Linked DNA regions of Elephas maximus indicus. The main gene of each other region encodes a partner of the protein of the gene in region 3 in a complex. Links are inferred from orthologs where the notes say so. Each region holds a gene or a part of one and is shown on either strand. Other genes may lie near its edges.

Evidence for each region. The genes of interacting proteins can lie anywhere in the genome.
Region 1: EID3 (region 3) and NSMCE1 share a complex: the UniProt entries of both Homo sapiens proteins name them as parts of the SMC5-SMC6 complex. The link is inferred for Elephas maximus indicus from reciprocal best matches to the Homo sapiens genes EID3 and NSMCE1.
Region 2: EID3 (region 3) and NSMCE3 share a complex: the UniProt entries of both Homo sapiens proteins name them as parts of the SMC5-SMC6 complex. The link is inferred for Elephas maximus indicus from reciprocal best matches to the Homo sapiens genes EID3 and NSMCE3.

The regions. Positions count from the first base shown.
Region 1 is NC_064830.1:87,665,937-87,676,836, forward strand, and holds the start of NSMCE1 (non-structural maintenance of chromosomes element 1 homolog), read right to left. Parts: upstream 5,599-10,900; 5' UTR 5,524-5,598; intron 5,514-5,523; exon of another isoform or gene 5,450-5,513; intron 1-5,449. UniProt on the Homo sapiens protein: RING-type zinc finger-containing E3 ubiquitin ligase that assembles with melanoma antigen protein (MAGE) to catalyze the direct transfer of ubiquitin from E2 ubiquitin-conjugating enzyme to a specific substrate.
Region 2 is NC_064831.1:94,935,681-94,945,567, reverse strand, and holds NSMCE3 (non-structural maintenance of chromosomes element 3 homolog), read right to left. Parts: upstream 4,702-9,887; 5' UTR 4,580-4,701; coding exon 3,692-4,579; 3' UTR 3,099-3,691; downstream 1-3,098. UniProt on the Homo sapiens protein: Component of the SMC5-SMC6 complex, a complex involved in repair of DNA double-strand breaks by homologous recombination. The complex may promote sister chromatid homologous recombination by recruiting the SMC1-SMC3 cohesin complex to double-strand breaks.
Region 3 is NC_064822.1:170,974,613-170,986,249, reverse strand, and holds the start of EID3 (EP300-interacting inhibitor of differentiation 3), read right to left. Parts: upstream 4,867-11,637; 5' UTR 1-4,866. UniProt on the Homo sapiens protein: Tissue-specific component of the SMC5-SMC6 complex, a complex involved in repair of DNA double-strand breaks by homologous recombination.

The DNA of each region.
Region 1 (10,900 bases), on a different chromosome or scaffold from region 3:
TTAGCTCAGCTGCTAACAGAAAGGTTGGCAGTTCGAACCAACTAGCCACTCCAGGGAAGAAAGATGTGGAAGTCTGCTTCAGTAAAGACTACAGCCTTTCTGCAATTCTACTCTGCCCCACAGTGTTGCTATGAGTTGGAATCGACTTGATGGCAATGGATTATTTTCCATGAATACAGTTGTAAAAAAAAAACCCAAACCCATTGCTGTCAGATGATTCCGACTCATAGTGACCCTTAATAGTCCTAAGCCAAATGAGAACAAACCAAACCCAGCAATATAAAAATAATGACATACCATGACCAAGTTGGATTTATCCCAACGATGCCAGGATTGGTTTAACATTCAAAAATTGATTCATGTGAAAAATCTACGAGACCAAGCAGTTAACAACCACTTTTAAACAAATATGAGAGTGTAAGGAGGTGGGGAAACTACATTAATAGCAACAGAACAACCAGAATAGAAACCATGAGAATGTTCACCCCCTGCGAAGAATGTAACCAACGTCACTGAGCACTTTGTGTAAAAATTGTTGAATGGGAACATAAACTGCTGTGTAAACATTCACTGAAAACACAGTATTTTTTTTAATTCATCAATGTGAGTCACCATATTAACAAATAGTATGATGCAGAAATACATTTAACAAAATTCACCGTTTATTCATGCAAACATTTATCCTTTGTAAAGTTGGAATAGAAGGAATTTCCATTATCTACTAACTGATGTTTACAAAAGGCCTACAGTGAACATAATACTTAATGGTGAAACGTTAAAAGTAATCACTTTAAAATCCTAATTGATCCAAGAGTCAATGCATTTCCAATCAAAATTCCAACAGGCTTTTTATGTGTCTGGACTTGATTGGAATGCAAAAGTTGGAAACCAAGGAGAAGGACTGGTAGTTGGAAACTATAGCCTTGGTGATAGAAACAATGCCTGTGATCACATGATAGAATTTTGCAAGACCAATGACTTCTTCATTGCAAATACCTTTTTTCACCAACATAAACGGTGACTATACACATGGACCTCACCAGATGGAATACACAGGAATCAAATCAACTATGTCTGTGGAAAGAGACAATGGAAAAGTTCAATATCATCAGTCAGAACAAGGCCAGTGGCTGACTGTGGAACAGATCATCAATTGCTCATATGCAAGTTCAAACCGAAACTGAAGAAAATTACAACAAGTCCAGGAGAGCCAAAGAATGACCTTGAGTATATCCCATCTGAATTTAGAGACCATCTCAAGAATAGATTTGGCACGCAGGACACTAATAACCGAAGACCAGACAAGTTGTGGAATGATATCAAGGACATTATACATGAAAAAAAGCAAGAGGTCATTGAAAACACAGGAAAGAAAGAACAGACCAAGATGGATATCAGAAGAGACTCTGAAACTTGCTCTAGAACGTCAAGCAGCTAAAGCAAAAGGAAGAAATGACGAAGTAAAAGAACTGAACAGAAGATTTCAAAGGGTGGCTCAAGAAGACAAAGTATTACAATGACATGTGCAAAGAGCTGGAGACAGAAAACCAAAAGGGAAGAACACACTCAGTATTTCTCAAGCAGAAAGAACTGAAGAAAAAACTCAAACCCCAAGTTGCAATGGTGAAGAATTCTATGGAAAAAATATTAAATGATGCAGAAAGCATCAAAATAAGATGGAAGGAATACACAGAGTCATTACAACAAAAAGAATTAGTTGACTTTCAACCGTTTCAAGAGGTAGCATATGATCAGGAACCGATGGTACTGAAGAAAGATGTCCAATCTGCTCTGAAGGCACTGGCGAAAAACAAGGCTCCAGGAATTGATGGAATATCAAGTGAGATGTTTCAACAAACAGATGCAGCACTGTAAGTGCTCACTCGTCTATGCCAAGAAATTTGGAAGACAGTTACCTGGCCAACCAATTGGAAGAGATCCCTATTTATGGCTATTCCCAAGAAAGATGACCCAACCAAATGTGGAAATTATCCAACAATATCATTAATATCACACACAAGCAAAATTTTGCTGAAGATCATTCAAAAGTGGCTGCAGCAGTACATCCACAGGAACTGCCAGAAACTCAGGCCGGATTCAGAAGAGGATGTGGAACCAGGGATATCATTGCTGATGTCAGATGGATCCTGGCTGAAAGCAGAGAATGCCAGAAGGATGTTTACCTGTGTTTTATTGATTATGCAAAGGCATTCGACTGTGTGAATCATAACAAATTATGGGTAACACTGCAAAGAACGGGAATTCCAGAACACTTAATTGTGCTCATGAGGAGCCTGTACATAGATCAAGAGGCGGTTGTTCGGACAGAACGAGGGCATACTGAGTGGTTTAAAGTCAGGAAAGGTGTGCCTCAGGGTTGTATTCTTTCAACATACCTACTCCAACCGTATACCAAGCAAATAATCCGAGAAGCTGGACTAGATGAAGAAGAACGGGGCATCGGGATTGGAGAAAGATTCATCAACAACCTGCGTTATGCAGATGACACAACCTTGCTTGCTGAAAGTGAAGAGGACTTGAAGCACTTACTGATGAAGATCAAAGACCACAGCCTTCGGTACGGATTACAACTCAACATAAAGAAAACAAAAATCCTCACAACTGGAGCAATAAGCAACTTTACGGTAAATGGAGAAAAGATTGAAATTGTCAAGAATTTCATTTTACTTGGATCCATAATCGACACCCACAGAAGCAGTAGTCAAGAAATCAAGACGCACTGCATTGAGCAAATCTGCTGCAAAAGACCTCTTCAAAGTGTTGAAAAGCAAAGATGTCACCTTGAAGATTAAGGTGCACCTGACCCAAGCCATGGTGTCTTCAATTGCATCATATACATGCGAAAGCTGGACAATGAATAAGGAAGACCGAGGAGCAATTGACGCCTTTGAATTGTGGTGTTGGCGAAGAATACATAATACACGATGGACTGCCAAAAAGAACGAACAAATCTGTCTTGGAAGAATTACAACCAGAATGCTTCTTAGAAGGAAGGATGGCGAGACTACATCTTACATATTTTGGACATGGTGTCAGGAGGGACTAGTCCCTGGAGAAGGACATCATGCTTGGTAAAATAGAAGGTCAGCAGAAACGAGGAAGGCCATCAACGAGATGGACTGACACAGTGGCTGCAACAACGGGCTCAAGCATAACAACAATTGTGAGGATGGTGCAGGACCAGACAGTGTTTTATTCTGTGGTACACAGGGTCACAATGAGTCAGAACCAGCTCGATGGCACCTAACAACAACATGCGATTTGACAAGATGGAAATGTAAAGGCAAAGAGAGCCAAGAAACTCCTGGAGAGAAAAGGCAGGAGGACTTGTCCTACTAGATGTTAGATTTATTTCAAGAGTAATAAATAAAGTGTGGTGATGGTAAACAGGGATAGACAAATAAGACCAATGGAGCAGAATAGAGAACTCAGAAACAGAAAAATATAAACATATCCATACTTGATGTTAAAGAAATGGAACTCCAAATGAAAGCAAACTTCTCAACAAAAGGTGCTGGGATAACTAATTATCCATATGTAGGGGAAAAAAATGAAATTAGACCCCTGCTTCACACTATTCAAAATATCAGTTCTTGGAGGATTAAGGTCCTAAAATTAAGAAAGGTATAAAGTTTTTGGATTACAATAAAGGAGAATATCTTTATGACCAACCTAAGCGTTGTTTGTTGTTAGGTGCCTTTGAGTCAGTTCCAACTTATAGCTACCCCATGTACAACAAAACAAAACACTGCCTGGTTCCTCACCATCCTGGCAATTGTTGCTATGTTTGAGCCCGTTATTGGAGCCACTGTGTCAATCCATCTCGTTGAGGGTCTTCCTCTTTTTCACTGACTCCCTACTTAACCAAGCATGATATCCTTCTCCAGGGACTGGTACCTCCTGATAACATGTCCAAAGTATGTGTGACGAAGACTCTTCATCCTCACTTCTAAGGAGCATTCTGGATATACTTCTTCTAAGACAGATTTGTTCATTCTTCTGGCAGTATATTCAATATTCTTCGCCAAATACCACAATTCAAATGCATCGATTCTTCTTCGGTCTTCCTTATTCATTGTCCAGCTTTTGCATGCATATGAGGCAAGTGAAAATACCATGGCTTGGGTCAAGTACACCTTAGTCTTGAAGGTGACATCTTTGCAGTTTAACACTATATAGAGGTCTTTTGCAGCAGATTTGCCCAATGTGACACGTCATCTGATTTCTCTACTGTTGCTTCCATGGGCGTTGATTGTGGATCCAAGTAAAACGAAATCTTTGACAACTTCAATTATTTACTCCATTTATCATGATGTTGCTTATTGGTCTAGTTGTGAGGGTTTTTTACCCAAGGGTAGGGTGAATTTCTTTGAAAGATACAGAAGAAGCACAAACTGTAAAGGAATAGACTGATAAATTCAACTTCATTAAAATTAAGAACCTCTGTTCACCAAAAAACATCAGATCATTTTAAAATAGAAATGTTTGTAGAATAAGCACATCTGAGTCACAAACATTTGTGGTATGTGCTCGACAAGAGAGCTAATGCTTCATGAATAGTCTCATTTAATCCTTACAAGGACCTTATGTGAAAAGGATGAGGAAACTGAGGCTGAGAGGGACACAAAGTGACACAAGGAGTTAGTGACAGTGGGGATACAAAACCACAGTTCCTGTTCTCAAGGCAATCCCAGTCCAGGCAAGCAAGAAAAACGAGTGGGACAATAAAATTATGATCCACGTCCCTCATCTGCAATTCCTAAATTTCAAAAGATCTGAAAGCCAAAATTAAAAAAAAAAAAGGTTTTAAATCTGAGCTGACTTTCGTTGAGGCTATTTATGATTGTTATTTACCCCGGTAGTGTAAATATGCACATATTTTAATATGGAAATATTAATGTATTTGATTTCAGGACGCTGCCCCAGACCCCGCTGAGGGTATGGCATAACACAATATACTCACCATATTCAACAACACAACAATATTACCTTTCTAAAATCCGAGAAATCCTGTATTCTGAACACGTCTTACCTCGGGGATTTAAAATAAGGGACTGTGGACTTGTACTAAGTAAGGAGTACTGTACACAAAATTGAGGGGTGCACAGAGGACCGCGAGATTACCCGAGAGGGTGGTCAGCGAAGGATGTAATCGCGGTTAAAAGTTTGTAATTTTGTTTTTTTCACTTAATATTACGATTAACAATATTTTCTTCACCGGATATGACGATGCAAAAATTTGTAGGTGTATGTGTGTGTGCTAATGAGGCTAGACCCCCGTCTACTTGCCTCTGCTCCCCCTCTCGGGACCTCAGTTTCCCCATCAGTAAATAAGAAGCCCCAAGCCCTCCTCCAGAGCGCCACACTCCATCACCGCACATGGTCGACGCAGAGCCTGACCCCCACTTCCTGTCTCGCCGAACCCCACCTCACATATCCCCTCGCCTTTCCAGACATCCCTCTTCCTTTCGCGCCAGCCTCCAGTCCCCCTTCCCGGATTACCAAATACGACACTCGAGCCCAGCGTAGACTGTGAAGGCGGAGATGGCCGACAGGTCGACTCGGGACCTCCTTCAAGGCGGGGCGAACGCGAACGCTGCGCTCCCATTGGTCTCCGCCAGCCGATTCTTCCCTCCTTTTGGGTGACGCACTTCCTGTGCTCCCGCCCGCCCCGTTGTCATGGTACTTCGGGCTCTGTCCGTTAGGTCACCACTGGGCCTCAGTGATGCGCGCGCCGAGGTCGGAGCCTTGCGCGACTTCCCGCACTTCTGTTGGTGTCTTTTATGGGAAAGGATTTCGCATTTGTCGTCCTCTGCCTCCCGCACCGCAGGGGCCCCGCTCGACCGAAGGAAAGGAAGAGCGGGAGTGCAGTCTGTGCTCCCCCTCGATGGCCAGGGTTCTGCGAGCATAGCTAGTACCCTGACCTGGGCCTCAGTTTCCCCATCTGTAGAACTGACAGTGTGGCCTCGTGGAAAGGAATGAGGGCTCCGTCGTCATGTAACCTGAACTGGCTCTGTCACTTATTAGTTGTAGGATTTTGGGCAAGTCACTGAACCTCTCTGAGACTGTTTTTTCTTCCATTAGATGGAGATAGTAACCGTTCCTAGGACATAGTTTCATGACGTTTAAAAAAGATAATGAATATCAAGTGCTGATTAAATATTCTCTAATATCTTTTTTTTTTTTTTAATATCTTACCTAGGGAATGTTGTGAGGAGTAAATGAGGTGGTTAATGGAAGTGAATGAATTGCTTTGAATTTCCAGGGCACTTATTTTACAAAAGTTTGTACGCCAGTCCCTAGTCTGAGGGCTGAGGATGCAGTGTAGCTGGGGGAAAATCCATTGCTTTTGTCGAGTCTGACTCATAGCAACCCTTTAGGACAAAGCAGAACTGCCCCATAGGGCTTCCAAGGAGCCATTGGTGAACCTGAACTGCTGGCCTTTTGGTTAGCAGCCATAGCTCTTAACCACTGCACCACCAGAACTCCTAGCAAGAGAAAGAGGTAACTATTATAGAACAGTAGTAAATGCAAGTATCTATCTCAGTGAGGCTAGATTCAGATCCCTACAAATGCTTATTCTGTTAAAATAAAGCAAGGAAATTTTTTGTAGGTTCGACTAGAGAAAACACCTAATTTTACAGACAGAACAAATACTTCCAAAATAACAAAGCTGTGAAGACCTTTTAAAGGGTCAGAACAAAAGACATGAGCTGTACTATTTTGATTGAACATCACAAACTTAGATTAATGCAAGTCAGGTTACTGGAAGTGGGGCCAGAAGGAGGAAGGCTACAGGACATTTCTCTCTTAGAAACAGATTGTTCACGTGAAATTTTTCTTGTCAGCAGTTGCCTAGGAGACCTAGATAAGAGTCAGCATTAAGGTCTTCTTCTCGAGAAATTGTTTCAGGAAGAGTCTTGATAACCTCTTGTAAAACTATATATAGTAAAACGAAGGGAAGATAATGTAGGGCCCCAAAATCTAAAGCAGCCATTTTACTTTAGTCAAGTGCCTAAGTTTAATTGCTTTTACCTTTCTAGGCCTCAGTTTCCTCATCTGTTGAATGGGGAAAAGCAGTAGACAGTAGTAGTTAAATCTTGAACTCTTCAACTCACTATTTCTGAGATTCAGGACAAAGTACTCAAACTCTCAACCAGTTTGCTCATCTATAAAGTAGAGATAACAGCACCTTGTTGACAGTGTTGTTGCGAATATTGAATGAGTTTGTACACACAAGCCACTTCGAAGATTGCCTAGAACACAGTAAGACCTTGATAAGTGTAAGCTACCATTACTGATAAAGTACTTCATAAACTGTGGGTTAAACTGTTTTAGGGGCAGTCAAATAAGAGAAGAAAACAGCCCTCAGGATGCAACATCTATGTTTTGCTTGTCCTTCACAGTGTGTTGTAAACTTTTCAATTCATTATCAATATTTAAAGGTTGAGGCATCCACATAAAACCCTGAAATATCTGACAATTCATGAAAAACAGGGAAGTCTGGCAACACAGGGCCAGTGTTCTTCCATGACAGCACTTGTTTAGCCTTGATAGAGACTCTTTTTGTAATGAAGCAGGGGCTTTCCTGATGTGTAGAGAGAGAAAAGTTGACGACCAAGAATAAATAACACTGGGAATTCCAAAATTTCATGGTCAAAGAGCCAAGAAAGGGGTAGAAAGAGAAGAAAGGGTTGCAAGACCAGCGGTGTCGCTAGGGTTAGTGTCACCCCCCGCCATGGACTTTCTCCCATATCAGACCATAAAGAATCTTCAGTAATGTTTTTGTATAATGTTACTGGTAAATCATAATCCCTGTATGTCACTCCTTCTTTACCTTTAATTACTACTTCATTCACAAAAAGATTATTGATATAGGTTCACAAATCCTACTTACCAAATATTATAGCTAAAACACCAGAAAATTTGACAAAATCAGCAACAGTAAAAACAACCAGCAGCTACGAAAACAACAGCACGTGCTTGTAAGACATGCAGAGGAAGCCACATGATTCCAGGAGTCATTGTGATTGGGTAATAATGACACCTCTAACTGGGCACATTAGAAGGTTCAAAGGTAAATTAGCATAGTTTTAGCCGATGCATGTGAGCTGAGCTTATGAAAACTGTTTTTGTTGTTACAACTAACTATAAGGTATTTTTATAGACAGTCATTTTGGTGTCACCCCCTCTGACAGTGTCACCCAGTGTGGTCCTTACCCCCCAAGTGACACCACTGTGCAAGACTGAAAAGTATCAGAGGCTTAGGGCATAAGTAACGGACTCTAGAAGGCAGAATAACTCGAGTGTGTTGGTGGGAGTATCTTTGAAATGATCCACCATGGTAGAGGAGACACAGAGAGGAAGGAGGGAAAGTGCTGACAAATAGAAGAAAGAGAAGGAGTATAGTTACCAGAGGTCTCAATGAATGGATCAGGTTCAAGAGGAATAAATAGAGAGCAAGAATTGGAGTTCAGGGTGAGGGAATGATCCACACAAGGTGAGTATCCAGCCTCAGTATGACTTTACACTAATTAGACAACCCATTCTCTAGTTGGTTCAATGAGCATCGATTAGGACCTTGGTTGTGCCAGACATTGGGTTGTCTGCTGCAGGGCATCTCTGATAGTTCAAAATTCTTCTGAAAGCTGCCCCTAAAAGGTATGAGATTTTAGAGAGTTACATTTTTTTTTTTTTTACACGTACGTAAAGTTGTTGAGTACGAGGGAGATGACCAAGGCCTTAGGGAAGCTTCAGGCCAAACCGTGTGCTAAGGAGGTTGTGGTCTTTCACCTGAAGAGCATAGATGCTATTGGAGGTGAAGTGATGGGATCAGATTTGTATTTCAGAAAAAGATCTTATGTATATCCGTTCTTCTCAAATATACTTGGAACAATTACAGAAATTGACTATGTACCTGGCCACAAAGGAAGTCTTGATGAATTCCAAAGAATCTACAGACCACATTCACTAACCACAGCGCAGTGAAATTAAAAGTCAGCAACCAGAGAAACCTATACAACACATAGATGACTGAAATAAGTAAATGCAGTTGCTTCTAAGAAGGAGACATAGAGATGGGATAAATTTTTTTTAACCATGTACGTACATACATACTTTACCTATGAAAAATAAGATTAAAAATTATAAATGAACATTTAAGTCTTATTAAGCTGGGTGATGTGTACCTGAGTGTTACACAGGTGTTCATTATATTAATTTTTATACTTTTTGTATGTTGATTTTATAATACATTTTTTAAAAGAAAAAGAATATACATTTAGAAACTGAAAAATACATTTGGATCAAAAAGAAAACCAATATGGAAATTACTGTATTTAGATATGAATTGACAATAAAAGCCTGACATCAAAGCTTGCTGGGTACTGCAAAAGCAGTAATTAGAGGGGGAATTTATAGCCTTAAGTGTACTTATTGCAATACAAGAAAACAAAATTTAAAGCAGCTAATTTAGGAGGTAGAAAAATAACTAAATTAACCCAGAGAAAGCAGAAGGAAGGAAGTAACAATAAAGATAAAAGCAGAAATGAGTAAAATAGAAAACAAAAAAGAGTTAATTCTGGAAACCAAAAGCTGGTGTTCAGTTAAAGACTAATAAAATAGGCAAATTTCTGGTAAGATTGATCAAGAAAATGATACGAATGAGTAATATTATAAACAGTGAAAAGGGCACAACAGTAAAAATTTTAGAAATCATAAGAACACTTTTATGCCAATACATTGGAAAATCTACATGAATGGGGCAATTTTCAAGAAGAATACAAATTATAAAACGTGGCCTAAAAATAAGTATACCAATAATCATAAATAAAATTTAAATGATGTAGATCTACTCCAACTCCCAAAGTGCCCAGGCCCAGACGGTTTTAAAAAGGCTATCCTACGCAGACTACACCTGAATATGAACAAGATAAAGAGAGCCACACTCTATGAGGCTAGCCTTAATCTTGGTACCAAAACCAAAACAGCAAAATTAAAACATTAGGTCCATCTCTATTACAAAAGTTGAGTCTATCCATGTCTTGGTTAAATGTCATCCTACCAGACTAAATGGCACTGGGTTTTACCAGACTTACTGGTCTGACAGAGACTTGAGAAACCCCGAGAATATGGCCCCGAATACCCTTATAGCTCAGTAATGAAGTCACTCCTGAGGTTCACCCTTCAGCCAAAGATTAGACAGGCCCATAAAACAAAATGAGACTAAATGGGCACACCAGCTCAGGGGCAAGGACAAGAAGGCAGGTGGGGACAAGAAAACTGGTAACCAGGAACCCAGGGTCAAGAAGGGGAGAGTGTTGACATGTCATGGTGGGGCAACCAACGTCACAAAACAATATGTGTATTAATTGTTTAATGAGAAACTAATTTTCTCTGTAAATCTTCATCTAAAATACAATTTTAAATAAAACCTTGGAACTTCCCCAGTGACTGAAGTGTCTTTGATGAGGCTTCTAGACCACAGCTTAGGGTTTACGCTAATAAGGTGACTCAGGTGGGGGCTGGCTGGTCCAGAAAGACAACAAATGATATGGGAGGTGGGGGAGCATGATTGCCAATAAATCATGACTGTATAATGAAACCCCAGTGAAGTCTCTGGACACAGAAACCCCCTAGGCTTCCTGGTTGGTGAAAGACATGGATGTGAATGGGGGGGTATCTCATGTTTTTGGGGACACGGAAGCTTCTTGTTGCGAACCCTCCCAGACCTTGCTGTAGGCATCTCTTCATTTATATCCTTTTTCCTATAATAAAATCGTAATCTTAACGTATAGGACTTTTTGTGTGCTCCGAAGTGAGGGGGGCTGGGCATACCTGAGCTTACAGCTGGTATGCTGAAGGAGTAGAAGGAACCCCT
Region 2 (9,887 bases), on a different chromosome or scaffold from region 3:
TGTGCCAAAAAGGTCTAGTGGTTCAAATCCACCAGGTGCTCCTTGGAAACCTTATGGGGCAGTTCTCTTCTGTCCTATAGAGTTGCTATGAGTCAGAAGTGATGCAACGGAACCTAACAACAACAATGTTGGTGGGAGTGTAACTTAATACCAGCTGGGGAGCAATCTGGCAAAGCCCCATGAGTGCTCAATATTTTCTGGCAGGAGAAATTCTCACACATGTGACTAAGGAGATCACACTGCCTGCGAATAGCAAGAAATTGAAAAGAACCTGTCTAGCCACTAGGGAAAAGACAAACTGTTCCCCCCAACCCCCCGCCCCCATTAAAGAACCATTAAAATGAATGGATCAGAGTTGGATCTATCCACGTGGCTAAATCTCAACAACGTAATGTTTACTGACGAATGCAAGTCACAAATGGGTATGTACAGTATAACACCACTTACGTTACTTGTAAAAGCTCACAAAGTCACATTATGTTTATGTATATCCACCTGTGCAGTAAGACACTAGACGATGGCATGACAGCGAGGAGCTTCTACCTCTGAGAACGGTTAAGAAGGAAAAGACACAGGGCCTGATTTGGCCCGTGATGTTTTGTATTTTACAATCTGAAATAAATGGTCATTCATTGACGGTAAATTGTGGACATTTCTATGAGAAAAGTGTAGAAGACAGTTGCCCTGGATATAACTGCCACTGGATGGTAGGTAATGATGATTGTACCAGACAGGTGAAAATGGGAGTACTAGAGCACACCTGGAGGAAAAGGCAGCCAGTGAGGAAAGGACCAGCAGGCAGGTGCTTGGCCAGAAGGTAATTTATATTCCAAAATAACTTACAGACTCAAAGCCAGCCTGTTAAGATTTTCCTAGGTCCGTTTTTTGAGCCCTGGTGGCACAGTGGTTAAGAGCTCAGCTGCTAACCCAAAGGTTGGCAGTTCAAATCCACCAGCCACTCCTTGGAAACCTTATGAGGCAGTTCTACTCTGTCCTATCTGGTTGCTATGAGTTGGAATTGACTCAATGGCAATGGGCTTGGTTTTGGTTTTAATGCTTGAGGTGACTTAGTAAAACTCTATTCCTTGTTGTGAAAAGACCCCGTCATGGATTGAATTGTGTCCCCCAAAAATATGTGTATCAACTTGGTTAGGCCATGATTCCCAGTATTCTGTGGCTGTCCTCCATTTTGTGATTGTAATTTTACCTTGAAAGGATTTGGGTGAGATTGTAACACCACCCTTACTCAGATCACCTCCCTGGATCCAAGGTAAAGGGAGTTTCCCTGGGGTGTGGCCTGCACCACCTTTTCTCTCTCTCAAGAGATGCAAGGAAATGGAAGCAAGCAGAGGGTTGGGGACCACATACCACCAAGAAAGCAGCACCAGGAGCAAAGCGCGTCCTTTGGATACGGAGTCCTGGCCTGAGAAGCTCCTCGACCAGGGGAAGATGGAGGACACGGACCTTCCCCCGGAGCCAACAAAGAGAGAAGGCCTTCCCCTGGAGCTGACACCCTGAATTTGGACTTGTAACCTACTAGACTGTGAGAGAATAAATTTCTCTTTGTTAAAGCCATCCACTTGTGGCATTTCTGTTACAGCAGCACTAGATGACCAAGACAGAGCCTAAATAGATTGCACTGAACAGGGATTCAAATTTGAGTCCTTGACCTAGTTTACTCCTAATTCCATGTGTGTCCTCTGGCTTCAGTTTTCACATGTGTCAAGAGATGGCTGGGCTACATGATTTCTAAAATCCTTTCTAGCTCTAAAATTCTGAGTTTACAATGTCCAAGACCACTATGTTAATGATCAAGTCACATTTTAATCAACTCTTAGAGCATTCACTGAGCTCTAACTTATTAAAAAAAAAATAGGTACTTTAAATATACTATTTCATTTAATTCATAAAACACACCATGATATGCAGTAAAACTTGTGAAAGCTGGAACCCACGTAACGTGGAAACCTGCCAGAAAAGGAAAACTCAAGTATTTTCCACTAATAGAGAGCAAGAGAAAAGCGGTAAGCTACACTGTCAAAGGTGGAAAACTTGTGAGACCTGGAAAAACAAGGCAGTCCCATCAAGTTCAGCTCTCACCGGTTTCACTTTATTTTCCCCATTTTACAGATAAAGAATCTGAGATTCTGAGAGCTTAAAACCTACCCAAACCACCATGCTGACAAGTTAAAATGAGCTAGAATTCAAACTCAGGTTGTCAGACAACCTTGAAATGCATAACCTTTTCTCTAGACGACGATGCCTCACAGCCCTGGGGAGACCTTGCGTGTAATGTTCCTGCTCTTACCACTATGTTGGCTGTGCTCATCACTGACCCTACCCTGTGCCACCTGTTTGGTTTGCCATAAAACCCCAAGATGGGGTCAGACTAGTAGGGTCATAACCTTTAAATCAGTAATTTCATTTCTAGTAATGACTTAGACCGAGATAATTAAAAATGAACAAAAACAGCTCCCAAACCCTTTGCTGTGGAGTGGATTCCAACTCATAGCAACCTCACAGGACAGGGTAGAACTGCCCCTTAGGGCTTCCGAGGATGGGCTGGTGGATTCGAACTACCAACTTTGCTTAGCAGCTGAGCTCTTAACCACTGCACCACCACAGCTCCAGACCAAGAACAAAACACAAATTTTCAAAAAATTTAAGGAATAACAGCCAAAATCCTCCACGGCAGGCAGTGTGTCACATCTAATTATCACACATGATATATCCAACATCAGCCTCATTTTACAGGTGAGGAAACACCTATACCCAGGTTAAGTAACCCATCTAAGCTTTTACAGTTAGTTAGAGGTGGGGGCCAGGATTTGAACCCAAGCAGGCTGATTCCTGGTCAGGCCTGGTCAATCACTACAGTTTCACAAAGTCTTCTGTGACCCACAGTGAAAAGTGTGATGCACATTTACACACATTAAAGTGAAAGGTCTGTAAAACTCTACTCATGTTACTGTATGTAGCACAAACTGTCTTTTTCATTTCTATTTAAGATGCTGGTTTCCAGCCAAAATGAATTTCTCACGACACATGATTAAAAAAACACACACTGCTTAACTGCTTCAAAAATAGTGTTTATTACAGTAACAGTAATAGCGAAAAAGAAAAAAAGGATAAAATCTAAGTGGAACTTAACTGTCAGCAACCCAGCTAGATAATTACTATGAATATTATACAGAAAGATAAATATTTTCAGAGAAAATACTGAAGATATATTCCTTGGAACCACCAAAAATGCTTAAATACGTAAAACATATAAAAATACAATGACTGTGTTAAGGTAACAACAATACAGGCAATTACACTTTAATTTATAATGACTTTTTATTTTTCCCTTCAAACTGGGGTAAAGAGGCCAGAGAATACCTCTGTGGTTTTTTACTTGGCACCAAAGCAATTTACTGATGTGTTTTTTCTTACATATGTTTCAGAACAGGGCACGAAATGTTACGATCAGTTTTACGAAGTAGTAACATTTTCTTATATCAAAAAAATATAGACTATACAACAAAGCAAAGCAATTCCTTACACATGTAGATTTGGAACCAAGTAATTTAGCAAAATAAACACGAACACATCTTCGCAAGCTAGTCAAGCGTCACAGAACTATTTCCCACCCCCACCTCTTCGGCCTCGGATCCTCCTCCCAGGAGTCCCTCTGAGTCTACCTGGGACTTCACGAGGAGGGGGCTGGGACACCGGGCTGAGGTCTGGCCCTGGCCGCCTCGTCTGCCAAAGCCTCACAGTACTGCACGGGCCAGTCCTTGGGGTCTTGGTTATGGATTTTGGCCACAAACTTAAGGACTTTCATCTTGGTAGTTTCCAGGTTGGTGCGCGGGCCCCACTGCAATTCATAGTCCACAGGATCAGTGTGGGGTAACCGTCGGTACTCCAGGTAACGCTGGCGCACAAAGTCCTCGGTGATGAGCTTCTTCGGGTCCCCGAACACCGAATGCCTCTTGGTGGGGTGCACCCCTAGGCGCCGCAGGAAGTCCCAGACCTCCGTCTCCTTGATGGTGTGGCCCCTCATGAAGATGAGCCCCAAGACGATCATCAGCAGGCCGGCGCCGGGCGTGCCCTGGTCCCCTCTCACCTCCGCGTCCTCCTCCACCGGCTCCAGGGTGTTGACCAGGACGTACGTGCTGCTCTTGGGCTCCAGCTCCACCAGCCTGTACCCGAAGACGTACTCGAGGCGCTGGGCGGCGAGCCTGAGCAGGTCGGGGAAGACGTCCTTGTAGTCCCCCACGACGTGTCTCAGGAGCTCGGTCCGCTTGACCGGCATCTTCTTCTGGTCCTTAATCAGCAAGAACTGCACCAGCTCGGCCACCTTCACCTCCAGCTGCTTCTGGGACCTGGGCCCCACGGCGGGGGCGGCCAGGGCCGAGCGGGCGCCCGGGGACCCGGTGCCGGGGGCCTCCTGCGAGCCGCCCGGCCCGCGGGAGGTGCTCGGGGCCTCGTCGGCCGCGCCGCCCCGCGGGCGCCGGCTGTCTCCGCCGCGGCCGCCCTCCCGCTCCCGCTCCGTCGGGGCCCCAGGGCGTCCCCGGACCCTCGACTTCTGCAACATGCTATCTGGCTACTGAGGCCGGACGCCGGCTCGGACACTGGCCGCTAGCAAAGCTCCAGCGACCGGCGGCGGCGGGATCCCAGCGCGCGTGCGCGGGGCATTGTGGGTCGGCGTTATCCGCCTCGGGGCGAGACTGGGCGGGGCCGAGGGCGGAGCGCTGCGTCGGTGGGCGGGCCCGGGGCGGAGCCCTGCGCCGGTGGGCGGGTCCGGGGGCGGAGCGCTGCGTCGAGTCGGCGGAGTCTGCGCACTGCGTCCCGGACGTCCGCGGGCCGGCGGCGGCGGTTTCTGCGCAGCCGCGGGCTGTCTGCGGGCGGGAGCGGTGGCGGTTACTAGACTTAAACTTGTTGTCCGTCCTTACCGAACAACACAAATAGAGAACAGGACCGAAAGTCCTAAACAAGTGTGCTGCTGAATTCAGGACCAAACAGGTCCAGGCAAATTTAACAGGCTCTCTAGAAAAATTAAGAACTTTAAAGTCGGGAATATTTGTGAAAGGAGGGAACCCAAAGGATCAATGTAGGCGAAAATCGAGGTGAAGGGGAAGGTAAGGCCGTGAAAGGCAACCAAACCCGCTGAGACCCTGCCCATTCTGCCTCATAGCGACCCTACAGAACAGAGTAGAACTGCCCTATAGGGTTTCAGAGAAGCGGCTGCTGCATTCCAACCGCCCATCTCTGGTTAGCAGCCGAGCGCTTTGCCACTGCGCCACCAGGGCTCGGTGAAAGGTAGAGGAAAGACATGTATTTCTACAGGGAGGCGCAAAAAGAGTGAGCGAGCCTGAGGGCTTCTGATTTGCCTCAGGGAGGCTCTGACCTCGCCACTCCCTCCTCTGAGTCGGAATCGACTCGATGGCAGTGGGTTACCGGCGGTTGGAATCCACCAGCCGCTCCTTGGAAACCCCATGGGGCTGTTCTCTGTCCTATAGGGTCGCTAAGAGTTGGAATCAACTCCAGGGTGACGGCTTCTGTTGAACTATTACCGCTAGTTTCCTTCTCTAATGTCCCTAAGAGTCGATTAAGAACAAGTGTTCGGTAAAAGAAGGGTTTCCTCGAAAGTAGGAATTTTTCCTTCTTTTCTCTCTTTCAGTGTTCTCTATGTTAAATTACGTCAGCTAGACAATTATGACAAAACCACTACACAAAACCTGTTCAGTGCAATTTTTTTGCTTGGTCAGCTGAGTTTATCTTTTGGAAGGCACACGTTCATGTAAACTGCCTTGGGACCGCAAGGACAATTTTAGCAGAAATGGGTAAGAAGGATACTACGGAGAAACATACTCTGTCTGGAGATTACCATTTAATTTTGGGCATCACTGATCAAGAAATGCGATAATGTAAATCTCTTAAATTTCTGAAAAATAAATATATCAGCCTTCAGGCTCAATGAGAAAGAAAAGAGAACCCAGGGGTATCATCCCTCATAATCTATGATGTGTGTGCTGTGTGTATATATTTTAATTGTGCAACTCTTTAATAGCCAAAAAAGAGCCATTTCATTAACTTGAACCAGCAATTATGCCCCCATTACTTATATAGATCTTAGCAGTGTGTTCCTTCTTTATTTATGGACTTGTGAGGAAGAAACTGAATTTCCCTTTTGGCGTTTTTAAAGCTACTCTACAAAGTGGGTAAATTCTGTGAAGAACCAAATCACGTTGAGTTCCTCTTTAATGCAGATATATTCAAAGGAAAGCAATTCAGAACAGACTATTTGAATAATAATATCAAAACACCACCTTATTAAAATTTCATTAAATGTTAGTAGTATGAAATTTTTGTAATCCAATATGAAAATGCAATCTGATAAAGGCATTGGAATTGCAATACTAAATGTAAAATGATATTCCACGTTGTGATGCAAATATGCTACAAGTCTGGTAAGCTACTAGTAATAACTTTCTGTTCCACACAAGATCCAGCAACATATCCCCAAGAATCAATCTTAGGGAGGGACGCCTACTAAGAAAAACAGATCATCAAGCAGTCTTTTTTTTTTTTTTTTTTACAATGAGAAAATGCATCTGCTTCAAAGTTTCTTTGCAAATTAAAATTCAGACTCAAGTTCAAAGGAGTCTCCTATAATCTAGAATTCTACAGAATGTCTCTCCACAAGGATCAGCTGTATCCTGAGTAAAAAATTTCAGCAACCAAAAGATAAAGGAGAAATGGAAAATAAAAAGATGAAAGCCACTGTCGACAGCTGGGCTAGCTCTTCGGAGTTTGTTCTTGATAAGGTATTCGTTTAAATTCCCAAGCAGCCCCAGCTCTCAGGCTCCCCCATGACTCTGTGAACATTAGCACTGCCCTTCAGTGACCTCTTCCTCAGATAGCACATGGTCATTGCTCAGAATGGCTGAGAAAAGACACTACTTCTAAGTCTTAAAACACCTCTACCCTTCTTCCAGAAAAATACCAAGACCAAAACCATTGCCATCGAGGCAATTCCAACTTTTTTTTTTTTTTTTTATGGGACAGAGCAGAACTGCCACATAGAGTTTCCAAGGCTGTAATCTTTATAGAAACCCCATGGGGCAGTTCTACACTGTCCTATAAGGTCACTATGAGTCGGAATCGACTTGATGGCAGTGGGTTTGGTTTGGTTTTTTGGTTTAATCTTTATGGAAACAGACTGTCTTATCTTTGTTCTGCAGAGTGCCTGGTGGGTATAAACCAGTGACCTTTCAGCAGCCAAGCGCTTAACCACTTCATCATCAGGGCTGCATTCCAGAAAAATGCAGGTGACAAAATAGGATTTCAGGCACTGCAGAGAGAAGACATCCTCACCTCACCTCAGATAATTACTGAAGGCCATGGGTATTTGGGGAGAGACTGTGGTGGTGATGATGGCAATGAAAACACAGTAATGTACATGACGATAACTAATGATTGTAAAAAGGTATAATACGGTCAAACCCTGTTCCAGGTGATTTACGTGTATTCTTTTAATCTCCACAACCCAATGAGGTCTGCATTTGTTACCTTCCTCTTCACTCAGATGAAGAAACTGAGGCACAGAGAAGATTCAGCACTGTCTTAAGGTCGCACAGCAAATAAGCGGTAGATGTGGGATCTGAACTTAGGATTAGGATGTCTGCCTCCAGAGACTGATCTTATGAACCATATGTTGATGTAGAGAGAATATAGACATGATGTCGTTGAAAAAGTTAAGGTTTTGGAATCAGATGGACCTAGATTAAAAGCCTGTATGACACTGGAAGGCTACGGACACCCCAAGTTTCAGCTTCCATGTCAACCAAATGAGAGTAATAATGCTGGGTTCAGGTCATTAAGTGAAATGGGTTTTTGAAGCACCTCTCACAGGCCCTGGCAGAGTTGTCTGTAATGATTGGCTCCCTTCTGGGAGTCATGTTAAGGGAAATATTTGATGACTGCACAATACTGTACATAGAAAGATGTCTACTGCAGTGAAACGCAAATCAGAAAAACGTCTGGAAGAACACAGATGTGTATATCAAGGTGCTGTTAAAGTTATTTTAAAAATAAAATTCAATCGTGATTTTTTTGCTTGGGAGATAAATGAGAAATATATTTTTAATGAAGCTTAACTTCCCAGTGACATCATGGCATACCAGTCATGTACCTTCAGGGTGATCTGATAGGGCGTTTGTGGTTTCCTGTTCAGGCAGTGAAATATAAAGACAAGTGTTAAAAAATACTCAAACGCTCCATGCTTCTGGCCTTCATACTATTACTGTTGTTGTTGTTAGAAGCCATCTAGTCAATTCCACTCATGGCAACCCCGTGTATGCAGCATAGAACTGCTCTATAAGGTTTTCAAGGCTGTGACCTTTCCTAAGTAGATCACCCAGGCCTGTCTTCCGTGGCACCTCTGGGTGGGTTAGAACTGCCAAGTTTTCGGCTAGTAAATGAGCACTTAACTGTCTGCACTACCTAGGGCCTCCAGGCCCCCTCTCCCATGCGTATATTTTAATGGTTGGCAATAAAATCTCTCTTGATTGTATCTACTGGGTCCTAACAAAGATCTTCCTGGATTAGACCACATGATAGACTACCTAATATTTATCCCTCTTGGAAGAATATTTTAATTAAGCAGCAACAGTGCATTCCTTGTCTGGTGGAAGGCGTGGGGAGGTGGATTTTGATGAGACAGGGCATTTCCAAGCACTACAGCCATTTGGTTGGAAGCCTCTTCTTAGACTTTCTTTTTTGTGTGTGTGGGGCTATTTTAAACCTGTTATTGTTTTTTTAATACTGACATCATCTATATGACGAGATGATATTTAGCACACAAGGTTGTTTTGAGGAGAACATCTAGCACATAGTGTTTTTTTTTTTAAGCATACTTTTTTAAGTTTATGGAGAAAGTGTGCAGAAAGAACAGCGTTCCCTCATACACCCTTCCTGCCCTGCAGTTTCTCTTATTATTAACATCTTCCATTCCTGTGGTACAATTTTTAGAACTGATTAACCAATATTGACACATTATTATTAACTAAAGTCCATAGTTATCAAGTTTCACTCTTTGTGTTGTATAGTCCTATAGGTTTAGACAAATGCATCATGTCATGTGTCCCCCATTACAGTATCATATAAATAGTTTCACTGCCCTAAAAATGCCCTGTGGTCCTCCTGTTCATCTCTCCTCTACCCCTCACCCCCCAACTCCTGGCAACCATTGATCTGTCTCTTTCGTTTTGCCTTTTCCAGAATATCATATAATTAGAGTCATACTGTACGTAGCTTTTTCAGACTGGCTTCTTTTAGCAATATGCATTTAAGTTTCCTTCGTGTCTTTTTGTACCCTTGATAACTGTCTTAGTTATCTAGTGCTGCTATAGTAGAAATACCACAAGTAGATGGCTTTAACAAAGAGAAATCTATTCTCTTACAGTCTTAATAGGCTAGAAGTCCGAATTCAGGGCCTCAGCTCCAAGGGAAGGCCTTCTCTGTCGGCTCTAGAGGAAGGTCCTTGTCATTAATCATCCCCTGGACCAGGAGCTTCTCTGTGCAAGAACCCCGCATGTAAAACATATTAACTCCATTATATCATAGCAAAAGTCTTAACTCCAAGTCCAAAATCCAAAAATTCCTCTTCATCTGTGAAATCTAGAATATAAGTTATCTGCTTCCCAAGTACAATGGCAAAACAGGCTCAAGCTAGACATTTCCATTACAAATGGGAGAAACTGGAGGAAAAGAAGGGGTAACAGGCATCAAGCAAGTTAGCAGAACACGTTACGTTAGCCCTCAAGGCTCTGAAAGTAATCCTCTGTTCTCTGAGACAATTTACACAATGGCCTTGCCCTCCCCACTCTGGGTATTGGCCA
Region 3 (11,637 bases):
AGTGATGAATGCCTACTACATGCCAACACTGAGCTAGGAATACCAGGGTTGACATGGGCTCAGCCCTGAATCATAGGCATACATTCTTATCAGGGAGGTCAGGTATGTATCCTCAAAGCAGTACCAAAGCTGAGTGCCAGAAGTCTGAGTACACCAGTGTGAGCTCTACACGCATACAGGTCTGGGTTCCAATCTTGGCTCTGCCACCTAACTGGCTGTGTAATTCTGGGCATGCTGCTTAACTTCTCATGGGCCTCCACTTTCTTATCTGTAAAACTAGATAATACCACCTCAACTAAGTATTACAGCATTTAGAGTCTAGCACATAAAAGGCATTCAATACAAGTTAGCTACTATCATTAATAGGAGCCTGGTGGCACAGTGGTTAAGAGCTCGGCTGCTAACCAAAAGGTTGGCAGTTCAAACGCACCAGGTGCTCCTCGGGAACCATGAGGCAGTTCTACTCTGTCCTATAGGGTTGCTGAGTTGGGATTGACTCGACGGCAATGGGGTTTTTTTTTTAATAGACACAAAGATTAAGACTAGCTCTGCATCTCTGACATAAAAAAACCAAAAACCAAACCCACTGTCGTTGAGTCAGTTCTGACTATCCTCTGACATGGAAGCCAAAAAATTATCCCTGGCAGGATTCCTCCTTTTCCAGAGATAAGGAATTTCTGGGAAAGCTGTGAAAGAACAGAGGAGGCAAGGAGTGGCCAAACCTGACCTCGTACCCTGAACAGGAGCAGCTGAAAAAGTAGATTTGGGCAGAAAAATAAGTCAAGAATTGAAATAAAGAACAGAATAAAGGAGGAAAATTTTAGGGAGTATAGCTGCAACAGTCAGCCTTCCCAGGAGCCTCCAGTAAATGAGGGAGCAGAGGAGATAACCAGAAAAGCAGGCTGGGGCCAGACCCTGGAGGGTACAGAATACCAAGCGAAGGAATGTACACTCTATCCTGGATGGGATCGAGGGGCAGTGAAACAGCCATCAGGAAGATGACTCTGGCAGCAAAGGGAACAGAAAGGGAGGGAGATCAGAAGCAGGAGGCCAGTTAGAGACTGCTGAAATAGTTTAGGCAAGAGGAAATGAGGCCCTGAAATTGTCTGGGCAAAAGTTAATAGAGGCAACTCGCAGATGTGTGGGAAATAGTTGAGTCCTGGTAAGTGAACAAAGAGGAAAGGCAAGATCAAATGTGAAGCCCCAACCATGTAAGAATAATAACGCTACACAGCAAAGAGGTCTGTGTTGTCACTTGGTAGAAGTGGAAGAAGCGAGTACTTGATAGGGGTGTAACACTTTATACCTGCATAGAAGAACAGAGAAATATGCTACCTATGGCCAGGACCTGTATGTCCACGTGTAAAATCGAAACTGCAGAGCTGCTAAATGCTGGCTCTATGAATAGAGTTCAACGTGGATTTCAACATGGATTCAACCAGTAAAATTTTACTATTCTGTGTACCAGATAAATTTATTCACATTCCTAACAATCCACTTCCTCTTTTAAATCTTGTTTGTAGTCCTTATCCCCAAAAGTTCCAAATTCTTATTAAGGTAAGCCTTCACTACCACCACCACCTCCAGTTGCCCTCGAGTCGATTCCAACTCATGGTGGCCCCTGTGTGTCAGAGCAGAACTGTGCTCCACACAGTCTTCAATGGCTGGTTTTTCAGAAGTAGATTGCTAGGCCTTTCTTCTGAGGCACCTCTGGGTACACTCAAACCTCCAACCTTTTGCTTAGCAGCTGCGTTAGTTAACCATTTGCACCACCCAAGGAGCCTGTTTATTTCCTTTATCTTCTCCTTTAGGTCTCAACCCTAAACCAGGCCAAAAGCAGATACACTACTAATCCTCCACCACGGAAATGGAATTACCTCAAAGAATCAAAGGAAATCAAGTTTTCTGGAAGTTTGGTACAGTACTGAGTGGAGTGGCTGGAAAGTTATTCAAATACCACTTATTTCTGATGTCTATTCATTAACAGTCTGGTTTCTAGTAACTTTAGAAGCCAGACTTGAAAGGAGATCTACCTTTTGTTCAGTATCTACCTCCCTAGGCTGGAACGTCACACCGCTGAACCCGACTACAATATGATCACATCTGAGCTCCTACTCCGACTGCCTGCACAATTCATTTGGATGTTAATCACCCACTGTGTTGTATCTGTCATCTCTATTACTGCCTTAAAGAAATTATCTAAATTGTGCTACTAGTTTTAAGGCAGTTTTGAGACAAGTTACCTTAAACTACTAAGTCTTAACTCTGTCTGGCACTTAATATTCCAACAAGGACTTTTTCATTCAGTTCAACACCACCAATGGTCACTTATATGAGTGGTTTCGAAATCTGGAATTCTGAAGATACTGATCTACGTATGAGACTCCCTATAAGAATGCTTGTAATCTTGGGCTTAAAAACTAAGATGTTTATAAAAGTCAGATGTCTTTGAGCAATAGGAACTCTATTCATAGGTTCTAGCATTTAGCAGCTCCCCAGTTCTAATTTTACGCATGGACATACAAGCCCTGGCCCTTAGGTAACACATTTCTCTATTTTTCTAAGCAGGTGTGAAGCGTTACACCCCTGTTGAGTTACCATTTGCCATGGTGGTGCCACAGTTAAGAGCTATGGCTGCTAATCAGAAGTTTGGCAGTTCCAATCTTCTACCGCTCCTTGGAAACTCCATGGGGCAGTTCTACTCTGTCCTATAGGGTCACTATGAGTCAGAATCAACTCGACAACAATGGTTTTCAAACTACTATCTTTGTTTTCTCCAATTCTAATTATTTTATCAACTGATCTTGACCAAACTCCTCTAAAGCAGCCTCAAATTTGATATTCTTAAGAATTATCTGAGGGAGTTTTTTGAAAAGAAAATAAAGAGGGTCTATTCAAGAAGAACACAGGTAAAGCTCAGGTATAAAAAAAAAAAGGTATACACATTTAAAAAGCACTCCAGGGGATTCTACACTTTTTTTTAAACACACTTCTTTAAAGTCTTTATCCTTTAGGTAGTCATCTAGGCTCACCAGATCCTGCCTTTGGGATTCTCTCTCCCTCTTCTACAGTAGTGCACTGTGAAAGCAAGGTAGGTTTTGCTGTTGTTATTTATTGAGAAGAAGAGGGAAATGGACATGAAGGGAAGGAACAATATTAAAAGGAGAAAGGCAAAAAGGATATTCTAAAGACTCCCTCACCATTACTTGATTAAGCAGCAAGTAAAGTATGAAGTCTTAACTTAAAGGTATGAACTTTAAGATTAGGACACAACTTCTATAAGTACTCACTCTCCACTAATTAAATACACTTCTCCACTCAAACCCAAAGCTCCCTAAAGATTTATCACCGAATGTGGATAATAACTGGCTGGAAATCCGCAAACTTCAAATTGATAGTCCTTACCCCTGTTGTGTCTCTTGTTCCATTTCTTAGCACTCATCAAAAAACAAAAATAAATCAAATGATACATAGTAGAGTAGTAAATTTACTTAAAAGGGATGTGCTAAATGATTTTTGTTTTAAGTATGCCTTGGTGGTATGCTTTTCATTCATGGTATTGCACCTCATTAAGGATCTGAAATTAACTATGATCATATGGAACTGAAAACATCAAATCATGTTAATAAAGTGGGTCCCAAAGCTTATAAAAATGGTGATTCTTTTTACTCCCATTGATGTTAAAACCAGGAGCATCTGTAGAATTATATAAAGACCAAATGCCTATGTAACTTTTAAGCATAAGTTTATGACACAGGTGGATAGAATAGAATAATCTGACAGAAAGGAGTATTAATAGACTTGTCTCATTTTACTTGCAAACTAAAGGTCTGAGTAACAATGTATTTCAAACAAAGTTAAAAGTCTTCTTATCTCCTTTAATTATTTCCCATTCACTTGCTGTCTTTGAAGTCTAGCTCCATTCCCTACACCCATTCTTAAAAAGTTAAATGAGATTCTTTCAGAAGCAAGAAAAGGTAATACATAAAAATATAAATTGTTAATAATTTCTTAAAGGCACACACACCTAAACACATTCTTTCATTCAAATCAGGCCTCGGGTTTACTGCTAAGTAGACAATGTTCATGTATCAGTTCCATTTCTTAAAAACTACACAGCTACAAATGGATGAGGACTAGAACTTTCTAAAATGATAACCAGTAGAACATCACTCATACATCTAGCCTTAAACATGCATTTAGCTTCCATGCATTTTTCCAGCGGTCAGTGGCTGGTCATAAGGGGCGGAGGGTGTCCCATCCTGTCAAGAACCAAAAGGAAGATTTCTTGTTCCCTTTTTTTTTTTCCTCCACCCAATTGTTAGCTCTGGGCTAAAAAAAAAAGAGATTTCTGAAAAGATATATACTCACCCCAGGAGTTTTCTGGTTGCTTTCTTCAGTGAAGCCTGGGGGTTTCTGGCCCCCCCCCCCGCCCCCGCCCCCACCCCGGGGAACTAAAGAGGAAGAGACAGGGGTGACTTGAGGAGAATAAGAATTTCCTGACTCCCTTTTCACAGTACTTCCCTAAAAGACGCAAAATCAAAAGTTTACACAGCCGCTAAAATTTTTTAAGTTATTTAGACTGACTGGGAGGGAGGCAGGGGGAGAGGCAATTTTTTTAATTTATTTTAAAATATGAAAATTGTTACATATTCCCGTTTCAAGCTTCCCGTCTTTAAATTTACCCATCGTCTGATCAATGTGAACTAACAATGTTAGTTATCCCACAAGTGTTTCTTTGTCATTTTCTAAGGATGGGCTCCGTTTTCAGGTTCATTCACAGAACACTGCCTTTAACAGGAAGCTGCCACAATGGGCTCGCTGAGCTCATTCCTAGTTAAGGCGGGTAAAAGAAACGTCAGTATCTCCTACCTTCAAGGTCTGATCATGGCCGCCTATCTTTCTCTGTTTCACAAACACCACGGGCACTTTGGTTTCCAAGGTCAATGCCGAGAGCGCTCCTTCCAGGACCAGCCCGTCCTCTGTAGCACAAAAAAAGCAGACAGTGGAGTCTGTAAGGTCTTTCTTACAGCCGACCGAGGCGGGAACTGTGGAGGGGCGGAGCTTCCGGGGCCCGGGGCCTTCCAGTGCACTGTGTGCCCTCTGGAAAGGCGGCGGTGACTCCCCTGCAAGTTAGCATGACTTGCTCCATTTCTGACCATGACTAAAGCCTAGTCAGATTTGGATTTTGGACCTGGACAATCTCTGTATTAACTGAAAACATGGCCTCAAGGCTAGATAGAAACGTCAGTTAAATCATAGCAAGTCTCTGCTAAAATTAACCGTCCCGTTTTTCCAGCAAGAATTTAAGACAAAATTTTCTCAGCTTTCACAAAACGCTTCCCCATTTAATTGGGCTTTGAACTCTGCACCTATATAGAATGCCAAAATCCAGCTTCCAATGTTTTCTAGAAATTTGAAACCACGAAGCAAAATTACCAACACTGCCCATTTAGGGTGCTTTTACTTAAGAACTTCGAAGCACCGCATCAAAATTCTAGATAAGACCAGAACTAATAATTCAGTTTTACAAAGGGTGAACTGAGGCAGAGAATGAGTCAGTGATAGAATTAAAAACAATTCAGTTACAACGATGTCAGGGCCATTCATGAGACAAAATCAACACTCAAACGTACATTTGTTTAGCGTTAACAATAATGACAATAGCAGCTAACGCTTCCATAATGCTTTGTATGTATTAAACATTTAATCTTTACAACTAGCCTTTTGAAGTAGGTATTATCAAGCCCCAGGTCCATTTCACAGATACGTTAACTGAAACACAGAAAAGCTATGTAACATAACCAAGAACACAAAGCTAGTTAGGGAACAGCAAAACCAGAACGCAAACCCAGGGAGTGTGGCTCAGGTTTATGCTCCGAACCACTACCCAGTACTGCCTGATACACCGAGATAATAAACACTGGAGTCCAGTAGCTGCCGCACTTCATAATCTCTGTCAAACTGGGCAACTCACTTGAACTTTCTGAGCCTTGCTTTCCCCCACCTGTAAAAACATGGCGATTACATATGCTTTGCCAACCTCTCAAAATTTCTGATGATTAAATGATGTAAAACTTCCTTGGGAAGGCATTCTTACACATTTACACTTTCTTAATGCTGTCCAGGATCTGTCAATCTATTCATCGGATTATTATCTACATTTCAAGAGTCGTGTACTAAGAAATTATACAAAAACCCATTTTCTCTGATATTCTGCAAACAAGAGCTAGAGGAAGGAAATCATCAGCCGACAGAGTGCCAGCCTCCCCTACCATATGCTGAAGCGTTAACTGACCAAGATGAAACTCATCTCTGAACGCTGCCAAGAAGCTCACCTGCCTTAGAAAAGCCTCATCCCACTTTTGGGACCCGCCTTAAAATATCTCCCCTTTCCCTGGAATCATAATGCACCGCACAGGCACAAAGCTCACACTCCCTGCAAGCAAACAGTCTCCAACGTGCTCACAGGCTACAGGCCTAGCGCTTTGTCCGTTTTCAATCACCGCAGAGCTTACTATGTTCGAGCAGTCGGACGTCAGGCTCTTCCTCAGAAGGGCCACCTTAGACTCCGAGGCACATGCCGGACTGAGGCGAGCTGAGGTGAAAGGGTTGGTGGTTTCTAATAGCTACGAGAAGCCACGCCCTTCCCTGAGTCGGAGTGTTAGCAGCCAAAGTCAGAATGACAAAGCAAAAATCCACTTCTCGTGCAGCGTTGGCAAGCTAGTCTAATCGGTTTAGCAAAGTGGCATCTCCTAACTGGGTGACACCATATCCTCTTCCTGCTCACAGCCGCCCCCAACGCAGGAAGACAGCAAAAACAATTTAAGAAATGCTTGGAACCTGAACCAACACAAGAGTGTGTGTGTGTGTTTAACTGAACAAAACTGGATTATGCCCTAAGGCAGTAGCTCCACAATTTTGCTGCCGGTTAATGATCACGTGGGGGTCTTTAAAAAGTACTGAAGCCTAGCTCCCACCCCCCCAGGCCTTCTGATGTAATTGGTATGGGGTGTGGCCTGGGCATCAGTGTTTTTTAAAGCTTCTCAGGTGATTCTATTGAGCAGTAAAGTTTGGGACTCATTGTGTTAAAGTAATGGATTAGTCAGTTTGGCAATTCCCTAAAGGAAGTTATAAGGCTTTTGAAAGAAATGTCTAGGCCGTTCTGACTAATTCTGAAGTGACAAATTCTCACCAACACACAAATTACCTTTGGACTACTTCCTCCTTTTCCCTCTCAGGTTTTGGTTTCTCTTGTTTGCCTCAACAAAAACTGAGAATAGATTTAACTCCAGCCATGCCAAGCCACCTGCAGCTGCGGAAGTGAGCCATGCTCTCTAATACTTCCTTGGTCCTGCTGGCATTCTTACTCAGCACCTCACACTAGTAAGCGGCTACCAATATTTGTTAAATGAATGAATGAATAAATGTCTTTCCTACTTCTTTGGAAAATGCTGTACTCAAGCACACTCAGGTGAGAAGGTTGTTGGGCCCTTAGGGCTGTCAGAAGCCACACCTCTGAACCATAGCCAACTCCTTTGAGCCCCTTCTAAGGCTCAAGTTGGATGCTTGGGTTAGCCGATAGCCTTCTGAATGGCCTTCTGAATGCATGCACAGGCACACCAAGCTCAAGCCTACTGCCATGGAGTCAATTCTGATTCATAGCGACCCCATAGGGTTTCCAATACTGTAAATCTTTATGGAGACAGACTGCCACATCTTTCTCCCAGAGAGCCTTTGGTGGTTTCTATTATTTTAACCACTACACCACCAGGGTTCCTTACACACAGGCACACGCTGCAAGCTAAATTGGTGGGTAATAACTTGAGTTAATCAAGACAGCTACCTGGCCAACTGACTGGAAGAGATCGATATTTATGCCTATTCCCAAGAAGGGTGATCCAACCGAATGCAAAAATTATCAAATAATATCATTAATATCACAGGCAAGCAAAATTTTGCTGAAGATCATTCAAAAGTGGCTGTGGCAGTACGTAGAAGGGGAACTGCCAGAAATTCAAGCCGGATTTAGAAGAGGATGTGGAACCAGGGATATCATTGCTGATGTCAGATGGATCCTGGCTGAAAGCAGACAATACCAGAAAGATGTTTACCTGTGTTTTATTGACTGTGCAAAGGAATTTGACTATGTGGGTCATAACAAATTATGGATAACATTGTGGAGAATGGGAATTCTGGAAAACTTAATCGTGCTCATGAGGAATCTGTACCTGGATCAAGAGGCAGTTGTTCGAACAGAACAAGGGGATGCTGCATGGTTGAAGGTCAGGAAAGGTGTGCGTCAGGGTCATATCCTTTCACCACACCTGTTCAATCTGTGTGCTGAGCACATAATCCGAGAAGCTGGACTATATGAAGAAGAACGGGGCGTCAGGATTGGAGGAAGACTTATTAACAACCTGCATTATGCAAATGACACAACCTTCCTTGCTGAAAGTGAAGACTTGAAGAACTTACCGATGAAGATTAAAGACCACAGCCTTCAGCATGTATTGCAACTCAGCATGAAGCAAACAAAAATCCTCACAGGTGGACCAATAAGCGACATCATGATAAATGGAGAAAGGATTGAAGTTGTCAAGGATTTCATTTTACTTGGACCTACAATCAACACCCATGGAAGCAGTAGTCAAGAAATCAAAAAATGCATTGCATTGGGGAAATCAGCTGCAAGAGATCTCTTTAAAGTGTTACAAAGCAAAGATGTCACCTTGAGGACTAAGGTGTGCCTGACACAAGCCAAGGTGTTTTCAATAGCATCGTATGCATGCAAAAGCTGGACAATGAATAAGGAAGACCAAAGAATAATTGATGCCTTTGAATTGTGGTGTGGAAGAAGAATATTGAATATACCATGGACTGTGAAAAGAACAAACAAATCTGTCTTGGAAGAAATACAACCAGGATGTTCCTTGGAAACAAGGATGGCGAGACTAGGTCTCACATACTTTGGATGTGTTGTCAGGAGGGATCAGTCCCCGGGGAAGGGCATCATGCTTGGTAAAGCAGAGGGTCAGCGAAAAAGAGGAAGACCCTCAACAAGATGGATTGACACAATGGCTGCAACAATGGGCTCAGGCATAGCAACAACTGTGAGGATGGGGCAGGACCGGGCAGTGTTTCGTTCTGTTGTGCATAGGGTCACTATGAGTCGGAACTGACTCGATAGTACCTGACAACAACAACTTGAGTGCTTCACCTCATTCTGCGTCCTTAGAACAGAGGATGGATCTAAAAAAAAAAAAAAAAATTTTTTTTTTTTTTATCTAGCACATAGACATTACAAGGTGATTTAAGGAATAAAAAATGAAAAATGTGATGAAAGGAAAGCTGAGGCTAAGGGAGAACACTGACATTTATTTATTCCTGGCTGCTGTGCCAACCTTGTGTTAACCATTTTTTATGTCTTATTTTGTCTACACAATAACCGATGAACCAGAGTCATAAACGCCTCACTCTAAAAGTATATATAGGAACTACAGCTTATTTCAAAAGCATGTCTGAGGAAAAAGGGATTTTAAAATCATTTAATTTGAAATGATGTACTAAAGGAAGTGATAAGGACTGATTTCAAAAAGCCTTTCCACAGACAGCACCTTGTAGGCACAGACAAGTCAGGGTTGCTATGGTTAATATTTTCTTTTTTTTAATAGCATACCAAAAAAAAGCTAAATAAGGCTTTTTAACTTCACATTGTTCTTCAGTGAGCAAATTAAATAGCAAAAACCGTCAGAGCAGCTCATGCATTTATTCTAACAAAGAAAAAAATTAAATTAAAAAAGAATCACCATTTTAAAACACATTCTTCGCTTCTTCAAACCATTCTTGCTGCTGTTAAGGAGACCCAAGTGTCTTACCCTTGTCACGAAATATAGAGTAGAGCTCAGTAGTTCTATTAGTTGCTGGTTAATGGAAAAAGAGCTTCATCCTCAACTATTTTTTATTATGCAGCATTTGTTCTAGTCATACATTCTCACATCTCCTAACTGTGCTCATTTTACCCCCTCCCAGCCCAAAATTATCTTCCCTCCCTAAGGGCCTACTCCATCAAAGCTCATCTAAAATGTCACCTCCTTTTCAAGGGCTTCCCTGATTACCATCTACTGTTAATCAATCCTTTCTTCTTCTATGTCCACACACACACAAAAAAACCATTGCAGTCGAGTCAATTCCGACTCCTAGCAACCCTTTAGGACAGAGTAGAACTGCCCCATAGAGTCTCCAAGGAGCACCTGGTGGATTCAAACTGCTGAACTTTTGGTTAGCAGCTATAGCACTTAACCACTATGCCACGAGGATTTCCCAAGTACCTAATAATAATTACAAATCTTCTAAATCCATGAGAGCTTTAGGAAAGCAAACACCTTGTTGTATTTATCTTGTCACCTCAGAACCTAGTATATAGTAGGTACTCAGAAAATGCTGAAAAAAAGACTCTTTGTACTTGAGTTGTCATCTACACACACTTATAAACAGAACTATGCAGGTGTTTGAGCAAGTCGTATTGCATTAAACTACTATTCCACCTATAATAAGCCTCTCTCTCACACATGCGCGTGCGCACACACACGCATCACTGAGCTGAAACAATCTTCCTGACACCCAAATTTTCTCTGCTTAAACCTAGCTAGGGTTCAGAGCTTTCTAAGGCCTGTGGGGTTTACATTAACTTTACCCAAAGAATTTGGTCTTTGTCCTAGGTTTCTAAGAGATAACCTCTAAAACCTTGAAAATTCTCCATTGATTATCTTTTATGAAGCATCCAGACTACACCTGAGGGTTTACGCTAATTAAATGCCTTCTGGGTGGGGCCTAGGCAGCTCAAAAAAACCAGTGAGTGACATCAACTAGGGAGGGTTGGGGCATGATTAATCAATCATGCCTACGTAATGAGACCCCAAGAAAGGCTCTGGGCACAGAAGCTTCACAGGCTTTCTGGTTGCACATGGGAGGGTAGCCCGTCCTTTGGGACACGGAAGCTTCATGATGGGAATCCTCCCATACCTTGTCCTATGTGTCTCTTCTTTATATTGGTCCTGAGTTGTATCCTTTTTGCTGTAATAAAACCGTAATCATAAGTGTACTGCTTTCCGTGAGTTCTGTTGAATCATTCCAGCAAATTATCAAACCCGAGGGAGTAGAAGTAGCCAGTAGGTCAGAAGTGAGGCTAGGGACCGCCAGGCTTACAGCTGGGTAAAGGGAACTACCCACATTTATAGCCACAGGTCAGAAGTGAGTGTGTTGGCTGGACTCCCAAGCTTGCAACTGGCATCTGAGGTCTTGGGCAGACCTGGCAGTCTGAAAGATTGTGCCCTTTACCTTGTGAGGTCTGACCTAACTCCAGATGGTTAGGGTTAGAGGAAGAAGTACTGCATTGCTGCTGGTGTCAAAACAGAAGTGGAATACACTGCATTGATCAACATAGCTCCTGTTAGAGAAGTGGAATTTGATGTATCCTCATAGGCGCTCAAGATAAAGTCCAAACTCCTCAACTGTACTGACATGGCAAGGCCCCTACTCTTTTTGAACCTAGCCATCCACATAATACTATGACTCCATGCCCCCCTACCCTGCAGTTACCACTCCATTTCATTGTTCCCTGTAAAATGGTGGCAG